2 linked regions of the Schizosaccharomyces pombe genome follow. The protein of the gene in region 1 interacts with the protein of each later gene in a pairwise test. Each region holds a gene or a part of one and is shown in the gene's direction. Other genes may lie near its edges.

Region 1 (4,154 bases):
GGTTGTGATGCTCAATTTTATACTCAGCAGCATCTTGAACGCCACATCGAGGTCCATCGAAAGCCAAAGCCATATGCATGTACATGGGAGGGATGCGATGAATGTTTTAGCAAACATCAACAACTCAGATCCCACATTTCGGCTTGTCATACTCATCTTTTGCCTTATCCTTGTACGTATCAAGATTGTGAACTAAGGTTTGCTACAAAGCAGAAACTACAAAATCATGTCAACCGGGCTCATGAAAAAATTATCAGTTACAGTTGTCCTCATGAATCATGTGTCGGACATGAGGGTTTTGAAAAATGGAGTCAGTTACAAAATCACATTCGGGAGGCCCATGTTCCCAGTTGTTCAATTTGTGGACGGCAATTTAAAACCGCAGCACACCTTCGACACCATGTTGTACTTCATCAAACAACTTTGGAAGAAAGGAAGACGTATCATTGCCCAATGGAAGGATGTAAGAAATCTTTTACACGCTCTTCTGCTCTAAAGAAACACATATCTGTAATACACGAAGGTAATATGGCATTTCATTGTGATAGCTGTGGTACCAAATTTGGATATAAACATATGCTGCAACGACACCTGGAGCGCGGCACTTGTAAAAAAGCTCATAAACCATACATTAATGAATGTGGAATCAAACATGATGGAATAGAGGGGGTCGCAATTCACGACCAAAAAGAGAAAGAATTGAGTTCAAACTTAGTATCTGACGTGGCTAAAAAAATAATCAACGAAGTTACCGGGCATGGATATAAAGAAGCCCGAGAATACAGCTGTTCCTTTCCAGAATGCAATTACCGGTTCAAACGGCTATATGATATGCATAGACACCTTAATTCCCATCACTGAACGACGATCCTTACTTCAATTTATTCTAAAACGGAAAAGTTTAGCATAAATGTGACAAAGCCATGTTTTAGCTTCTCTTCATAATAAATTTATAAGCAACCTCTATCTTTTTTTTTGCTTTTGGTTTAGTCAATCTTTGATGTCAATACATTCTTTTAAAATATAAGAGACTCATACCTTTGAATCGTCGAATTGAATAATATAAAATTTTTTAATGCAGATTTAGAAATGCAACCTTTCATGCTTCAAATATTTTTGAATACAGGGGTTCTCTCACATTTCAAATTAAGGGTTGTTAATAAAATCTTGTAATTACAGTTAAGTAATCAATTCATATTATAAATCGTGAAGGATTTTGTCAATTGTATTCCAATATCGGAGCCGATTGACATATAGCAGAGCACTATCCCAATTTGAAGACTCCATTGCTTTCCGTATTTCATTAATTTCCTGAACTTTTCTACCCTGATTTTCTTGACTTAGCTGTAGGAGTTTCTCTGGCGAATCCCTTGAAGCGGAAATGTTTTCATGTACATCCATGATTTCCATCAAAAATTCAGGGTCACTGTTAGAAATATCTTCAGAAACTGGGTTAATTCCTTGAAGCTGGAGAATATATTCCGCTCGAGTCAATGGAGCTTTTAAGGTGTTATAAGCTTTCGATAATTCTGCAGAATCTCTTTGAGCTAAGGCAGCGTCTTTTCCCTGAGCAACATCAGGATGTAATGTTTTCATTTTTCTTAAATAGCTTGACTTTAATGCTCCCAAATCAATATCAAACGGACCTTTAGGAGGCGGATCCGAGATATCTCCTTCAAATTGTTTGTAAAAGTTTTTAGCCTCTGACTGGCATGATGAACTATGAAAATGATTATAATTAACAATTTTATTTAAAGGATAAAATTTGAAGCGAGCAAAAATCCAATGATTTCCAGTAATTTGTCGATTGAATAAACTCTTCTGTGCAAAAGAAATAAAGGGCCTAAAGCTCTGGTTTCCAGCTTGCTTTAACATTTATGATACAAAAAAAAAAGAAATTATGCAAATCCAAAGTGAATAATTAGAATTTCAAGTAGTTGAAAAAAAAAGGTATCAAGAGTTGACTTGTAACTGCTGTTGTTATTGCCAAATTTCAATAACTGCCACAACTCTTTAAATGTCATCTCAAACTTCAATATTACATAAGGAAATATAATCATTCAAAGTTAACATCAATTGTTTTTCGAAATCATCTCTTAAGAACAGTGAGATTAGTTCGGACATCTTACTAAAAAGCAGAGACCCTGGAAACCTCTGTTCCAAGCTAAATATTCCTAAAACCAAGGCAGTTCGGTGAATTTAACGTCTACATTTGAAAAATTTAAGGAAATTCTACCAATCTTTGTATTTTCAGTTTTTTTTCCTTTTTTTTTTTTTAAATATCAAATTTTGATATATCAATACATACTACAAAAGTATTATCTTTCAAAAAACTTATGAAAAACATTTTTAATATACTGCAAAAGGAATTACACATTTGGTTCTAATTGTTGTACTTTAGAGCAGCATGCCATTTTGTCAAGTGGTCGTTGGACCTCCGGGTTCTGGGAAATCAACTTACTGTTTCGGAATGTACCAATTATTATCTGCCATAGGAAGGAGTAGTATTATCGTCAATCTTGACCCAGCAAATGACTTTATCAAATACCCATGCGCAATTGATATTCGTAAAGTTCTCGATGTTGAGATGATCCAAAAAGACTATGATTTAGGACCAAATGGAGCACTTATTTATGCTATGGAAGCAATTGAATATCACGTTGAATGGTTGCTTAAGGAGCTAAAAAAGCATCGAGATTCATATGTGATATTTGATTGCCCTGGTCAAGTTGAGTTATTTACAAACCATAATTCCTTACAAAAAATAATCAAAACTTTGGAAAAGGAACTGGATTATAGACCTGTGTCCGTACAACTTGTAGATGCATATTGCTGCACGAATCCTTCTGCATATGTTAGTGCACTGCTTGTTTGCCTAAAGGGGATGCTTCAGCTGGACATGCCACATGTAAATATTTTGTCGAAGGCTGATTTGCTTTGTACGTATGGAACTTTACCAATGAAACTAGATTTTTTTACCGAAGTACAAGACCTTTCATATTTGGCGCCTTTGCTTGATAGAGATAAACGTCTTCAGCGCTATAGTGATTTAAACAAAGCTATTTGTGAACTTGTTGAAGATTTTAATCTTGTTTCTTTTGAAGTTGTTGCAGTAGAAAATAAAGCCAGTATGTTACGTGTTCTTCGAAAAATCGATCAAGCAGGTGGATATGCATATGGATCTACAGAAATTGGTGGTGATGCCGTTTGGGTGAATGCCGTTCGTCAAGGTGGAGACCCTCTTCAAGGTATTTCGCCTCAGGAAAGATGGATTGACAAGAAAGAGGAATATGACAAATATGAATGGGAATTAGAGCAAAAATCGACCATGGACGAAGATGAAAATGAAGGGTAATGACATTGAACTACTAAGGATTTGCAAATTGAATTATTTGAAAGTTGAAAGATTTTACTCAACCTTGCTTGTGTCATCTTCATCTTTTGCTACTGTGTTTTAGTTTTAAGACAATACTTTCAATCAACGGTAAACACACTTCGCAAAGTCCCATACAGTTAAATTTTGGTAAAAATTTAAAATATTGAGATAGCCTTTTTGTAAATCTCAAAAATTTAATGTATCACTTTTATAATAAACACTTTGTAAATTGCACCAAATAACATTTCTTTGGATTTAAGACTCTTTTCAAAGTAAGATAAATCTACAATGCATTTCGAAATGAAAAAGAAAAGCGGTCAACAGTACAGTAATTTACTCTTTCCCGGATGTTTTTTCCTTTCAATAATTAGTTACTTCGTAAAGTGATTGTCATACCTTTTTCTTTTTCTTTTTTTTGGATTTCTTTTTTTCAACGCGAATTGGCGATTTTGTTTCCAACACAATATCACCCATTGATCCTTGATTGGTAGAAAGTGGAGGGTCCAAAGAAATTAAGGAGTATACATTACTATTAGAAGGGTTTTCTTTGTTTTCAATATCAGCCAAACTTATTCCTTCGGGCACTTCGTCTTGGGCTACAACCATAGCTTGTAAACTAGGTGATGTAAAAATCTTTCTCCGTCTCTTATTTTTTGTAACTAAAATTATTAGCAAAAACAATATAATCAATAGCATTAACAAACCTTTTGTCACTTTATCAGCATTGAAAGCCTCATCTGACATCGACGTTTCAACATTTAAATTTTCAGGTTCTGAA
Region 2 (5,466 bases), on another chromosome or scaffold:
AATACCTACGCAGGCACCACTTGTTCCTCAAAGAAAGAATCTGAGACAGCATTTTCGCCCGATTGGAGATGCTGTAGGGCCTGAATCGGAACCTGAAGCTGAACCCAAGTCTGGCATCAAAGAACATATTTTACAAGAGACTGGTGATGCTACAGTAGAGGAATTACAAAATAAAGGGAAGGAAAAGCAAAAGGAATTGAAAAAGGGAAAAAGGGAAAAGAAGGATGAGGAAGAAAAACCTAAGAAGAAAAAGCAAAAGAAATCCAGCAAAAAGGAAAAAAATTAGATTGCTTGAATTAGTGTAATATTATCACCTTTTAATAGAATTCTACCTAAGCAATGTTAGCAATTGGTTTGGGAAATTGTTAAATATTTTAGAACAAAAATCTGCATCAACGGTTTGTTTTAGAATTTGTAAGGTTGCTGGAAACGCAATTTGGTAAATCAGCTTAAGACATGCATCTATTATTATTTTTGCTTCATGTAAAGACTTTTGAATAAAATCCCACCGAACATTCTTTCACATAAACCAAGGTTTTATTCGTCTAAAATCAGGCTTACCTAACTCCCTTTTATTATTTTTAGCATCTACTTGCACAGCATCGTCAAGCACAATGTTCATAAATTCGTCGAAGCCCTGTCATATATCGTTAGCAATTCATCAACTTGTCGTAGGGAAAATGAAGGTATTTCAAAATCCTAGGCCAACGACTATGAAGGGATTTTCCATAAAGTAAATTTCTTACCCTAATTTGTCCCTGAAGTCTTATATCTGTTTGTTCAAACAGCCAAATTGAAACAGGAGTATGTTGTTGCAACAATTTGAAAATGAAATTCTGCGTAAGTTAGCTATCCAACAACAATTAACCATACAATAGGAGGTATCATAACTTTTTGCACGCGTCCTGACATCTTGAAAACTTATTTTATCAAAAAACGAAATTCTATAGATGGTTGTGCAATGGTGCAGTTGGCGGCCTGTCAGCACTGACTTAGTGGATATTTAGCCAAGACCAAAAACCTCTTCAATAAATTTGTACCACATGGATCAATGTTTATCGATCCTTTATTTTTTTTTTATTTTTTTTAGATATGTAATTTGATCTTCAATAAGCTGTTTTAATTTTTTATCGACTTTCATACATACAAAAGTGTAGGTTGCTAAACTTCAATCAAAGCAGCCAAGATTGTATTGTTATTTTTATTAGACAATTTATGGACAATTCACTTGTTTAAATGATTGAGAAAAGCAAGAAATGTACTTTAGCGTGAGTAGCTACTCAGTAAAAAATGACATTAAAAAAAAACAATAAACAAGTTATCAAAGTTCAGCAAAAATTACATTAATTTAGACGATTAATATCCATAGATTCAAAAAGATTTGACAATAGAAATGAAGAAGACTGTAATGAAAATAGCCAAAATCTGATAAATATTTGGAAATCAGAATCCTTGAACAGCTCTAAATTAGGTTCTACCAGCTGCATCAAACGGATGTTTCATACATTAGATATTATATAATCCATATGTTTGCCAGTATTATTAGGAAACAGACTACTATGCGCTTTACATTGTATTTCGGATATATAAAATATAGCACGCGAAACTACTTTATGTGGCTAGAATTATATTATTATGGTAGCTATGTAAATAGCAATTGGAATACCTAAGCAAATTTTATTTTCTAACATTTGAAGTTTTTACTCTACCAAATGTATTAAAATTAAAAATCAACGTTATACTGAGACATAATGCCTTGAATGCTATTTATTATAATGATCATGGAAAACCTCCCGAATACTGTAATAAAGAGGTATAAGTTACTTGTTCCTTAAATAGGTCTTTTACTGCTACTACAGGTCTGAACCGAAACAAAAACACACGCTGCCAGTGCGTAAAGCAATCAATCTAAGTGATTTTTATGCCCTCATGGAAACGTTGTTAAGTGCTTTGGCTACTTTGTATGCCAACACTGATCGTGAGCAGAAACTTCAAGCAAACAACTACTTAGAAGAGTTTCAGAAAAGTGTAAGTCAGTCAGAGATTTGAACTGGATGATGTTAACCTGCATATTTTTAGCCTGCTGCATGGCAAATATGTTTTTCAATTTTGAATCAAGATGACAGCAGCATTGAAGCAAAGTTATTTGCCGCACAAACTTTGCGCCAAAAAATTGTATACGATTTTCATCAGCTACCTAAGGAAACACATATTGAATTTCGTAATTCCTTGCTACAGTTATTTTTAGCAGCTAAAGATAGTCCAAGACCTTTATTGGTATCATTGGCTGTTTGTATGGCTGCAATTGCTTTACATATGACTGAATGGCATAATGTTATAGCCGATGTTTTTCAAGCCTGTAGCTCCAAAGACCCCAGTGGAAGATGTGTTTTACAGTTTTTATCAGTACTCCCTGAAGAAGCTAGTGATCCAAGGAAAACTTCATTGAGTTGGGAGGAGTTATGTATTCGTGTTGATGAACTTCTTCGTGATAACGGTCCAGCAGTACTCGAGCTTCTGGTGCAATATGTCGATGCTGTCCGTGCTTCAGGATCTCCTTCGAGCGCTGACCTTGGTCTTGTTCTTACGAGTTTGATTTCCTGGTTGAGAGAAATTCCCCTTGATAAAGTTATGGCTTCTCCCTTAATTGAACTTGCTTTCCGTTCTCTGGATGATGACTTACTGTTAGAAGATGCTGTAGAATTTCTATGTGCCCTTTTTAATGAGACTAAAGATGTTGATGAAACTACTGATGCCATACTGATGCTCTATCCACGTTTACTTGAACTTCAGCCTAAACTTATTGCGGCCTGTGATGACCCAGAAACTTTTCGTGCACTAGGAAGGCTTTTTGCCGAGGCTGGTGAAGCTTGGGTTGTTTTGATTGCTAGGATGCCGAATGATTTTTTGCCTTTAGTAAACTGCATTGCTCAAGTTGCAGCTAACGATACAGAGCTGGAAGCGATTAAATTTACATTCGCATTTTGGTGGGATCTCAAACAAATGGTAGAGTTGGATGTTTATGCTGAAGCTCGTCAGCTATTTGCTCCTATATATTTAGAGTTGGTTCGTATTATTGTGCGTCACTTGCATTATCCACGAACTGAAGATTTGGCTATAAATGAGCAAATGGCTTCTAATGAAGTATTATTTGAGGATAGGGATGCTGAAGATCGTTTTCGGTCTTTTCGACATGAAATGGGTGATGTCCTCAAGGATTGCTGTGTCGTTGCTGGTGTATCTTCTTGTTTGGTTCAGATTTCTAGTCAGCTTATCAAAGTGCTCAAAATTAAGGAGTCTGGTCTTCCTTACTACTGGCAGGATGTCGAAGCTCCGTTATTTGCTTTAAGAGCCATTGGTAGAATGGTTCCTGCCAACGAGGATCAAGTCATCGGTAGCCTTTTCCAAATCCTTCCTCAATTGCCAGAAAACAATAAAGTTCGATATGCAGCTACACTATTCCTTGGTAGATACACAGAATGGACTGCGCAACATTCAGAATTTTTAGAATTGCAACTTAATTATATTTCTGCTGGTTTTGAGGTTGCAAATAAAGAGGTTCAAAGTGCAGCCGCTCAAGCCTTGAAGCACTTCTGCTATGATTGTAGGGAACAACTGGTTGGTCATCTCTCCCAATTACACATGTTTTACTTAAATGCCAAAACGTACTTAGCTCCTGACCCACTCATGGAAGTTGCCCAAGGCTTGGCTCACATCGTAGACATTCAGCCAGTTGCGAATGTATACCAATCTGTGCACAGTTTTCTTGCACCCTCACTTCAGAGTATTTTGCTGGCGCAAGTTAAGCTAAATCCCACTCAGGCAGAGTTAGAAGCACTGGCTGACAATATTGATATCGTTACGATTTTTTTGTCTCTCGTTCACCCCCCATCTCCGGCGGGAGAGCTACACCCCATTGTTCGACTTTTTCAAGACATTTGGCCGATATTGTCACGAACCTTAGACACGTTTTCCGACGTCTTAATATGCGAACGTATTAGCAAACTACTAAAAAATTTTATATACACTTTCAAGGAAAAAGCAATCGTAACGCTACCCGTTATTACAGAAGCACTTATTAAAGGATTTGAAAAAACCCAATATGGTTGCTTCTTGTGGGTTAGCGGAGCATGTGTGCGTCAATTTGGTGTGCCAGAAATGGATGAACAAACGTTAAGTGCTGTTTGGAGCTTTGTGGGGAAACAATGCACAAATATGTTTTATTACATGTCTAACAAAAACCCCAAAGAGATACCTGATGTGATTGATGACTTTTTCCGACTTATGATGGATGCATTACTAGCAAATCCACAAATGGTACTAGAGAGCCAAATGCTAGAATCTTTAATACAGGCGGCCATGATGTCTTTACAACTGGAGCAGCAGGAGCCTCTTCAAACAGTTTTAAATTTCCTACAAGACTTGCTTGCATTTGCTTTGCATACACCACCTTATTCACTTATCGAACCACTTCCTGATTCGCTTTTAAAAAGTTTAGCTGACTTGTTGCTTAAAAATTCTCAAGAACTATACATCATACTTTTTAATGGAATGGTGTTTACCTTTCCTAGAGATAACATATCAGATGCATCAGCGGTTTTGATTCCTCTTATTCGGCTAGTCTTTGCAGCTGACCCTAGCTTGTGTATTAAGTACATGTCGAATGTTTTAGATCAACTTCCGGCTATGACAATTGGACAAGAGGAACGCGAAAAGTTCCTAGCCAATTTTTCTAAGCACTGCACCTCCTCCGAAATGCCCCGGTTGCGTGCCCATCTACAAGATTGGACTGCAATGTACCGGCGTCGTGTACTAACCCCGAGGGCAAAATTAATTTCTGATGACTAATGTTGGGTCATCTATGAAAAGAAGAAAAATTAGGTAATATAATGAAATGGTACTATGGTTTGGTTGAAATGAACGTTTGGGAACATTATTAAGTTTACAGTAGAAGGAAAAACTTGAGATTTTTGCCAATGGAAGCTATAAGTTTTAGAGCACGGTAGAACATTATCAAATTCTTGTTAGCGCTTATTTTACTACTATACTGGCACAACCCATTGATCCAAGTTCGCATCGTTGTATATCAGCTGTAAAAGCAGATGTAAACATAGTGTAGATACTTACACCGAAGTCATAGGTTGTTGAGTACATAATCATAAAGTTAGTAGGAATGAATGAAAAAAAAGGAAAATTAAACAAAAGATTATTTCGTCCACCGAATTAAAAGAAATTAATCAATTCAGCATATAGTACATACAGCTAGCTAGCTATTAATTGGTTATTGTAATAGCTATCCCATATAACAATGCGCACCGTTCTACGTAAACACCTTTAAGGGATATCGTATAAATCGTATGAGTTCATTGAAAATCGTTTACATGGATAAAAAATGATAACAGCTACAATACTGAATGTTAATATGACTACCAGTAATTATAATGAAACCCCAAAATGTTAATCCAA

Evidence for each region. Proteins that work in one complex are often made in the same cells at the same time.
Region 2: the proteins of gpn2 (region 1) and mtr10 interact in a two-hybrid assay, tested with the Schizosaccharomyces pombe proteins (one large-scale study listed by BioGRID).

The regions. Positions count from the first base shown.
Region 1 is NC_003424.3:4,666,595-4,670,748, reverse strand, and holds gpn2 (GTPase Gpn2), read left to right. Parts: upstream 1-1,995; 5' UTR 1,996-2,407; coding exon 2,408-3,355; 3' UTR 3,356-3,630; downstream 3,631-4,154. Other genes in the region: sfc2 (transcription factor TFIIIA), read left to right, coding at 1-861; DNAJ domain-containing protein Jac1, read right to left, coding at 1,198-1,875; AP-3 adaptor complex subunit Apl5, read right to left, coding at 3,710-3,733, 3,773-4,035, 4,081-4,154. UniProt on the Schizosaccharomyces pombe protein: Small GTPase required for proper nuclear import of RNA polymerase II and III (RNAPII and RNAPIII). May act at an RNAP assembly step prior to nuclear import.
Region 2 is NC_003423.3:1,764,222-1,769,687, forward strand, and holds mtr10 (karyopherin Mtr10), read left to right. Parts: upstream 1-1,863; 5' UTR 1,864-1,929; coding exon 1,930-2,028; exon of another isoform or gene 2,029-2,057; intron 2,058-2,079; coding exon 2,080-4,848; 3' UTR 4,849-4,917; downstream 4,918-5,466. Other genes in the region: DNA-directed RNA polymerase I complex subunit Rpa34, read left to right, coding at 1-286; Sm snRNP core protein Sme1, read right to left, coding at 283-332, 562-637, 747-836, 874-912.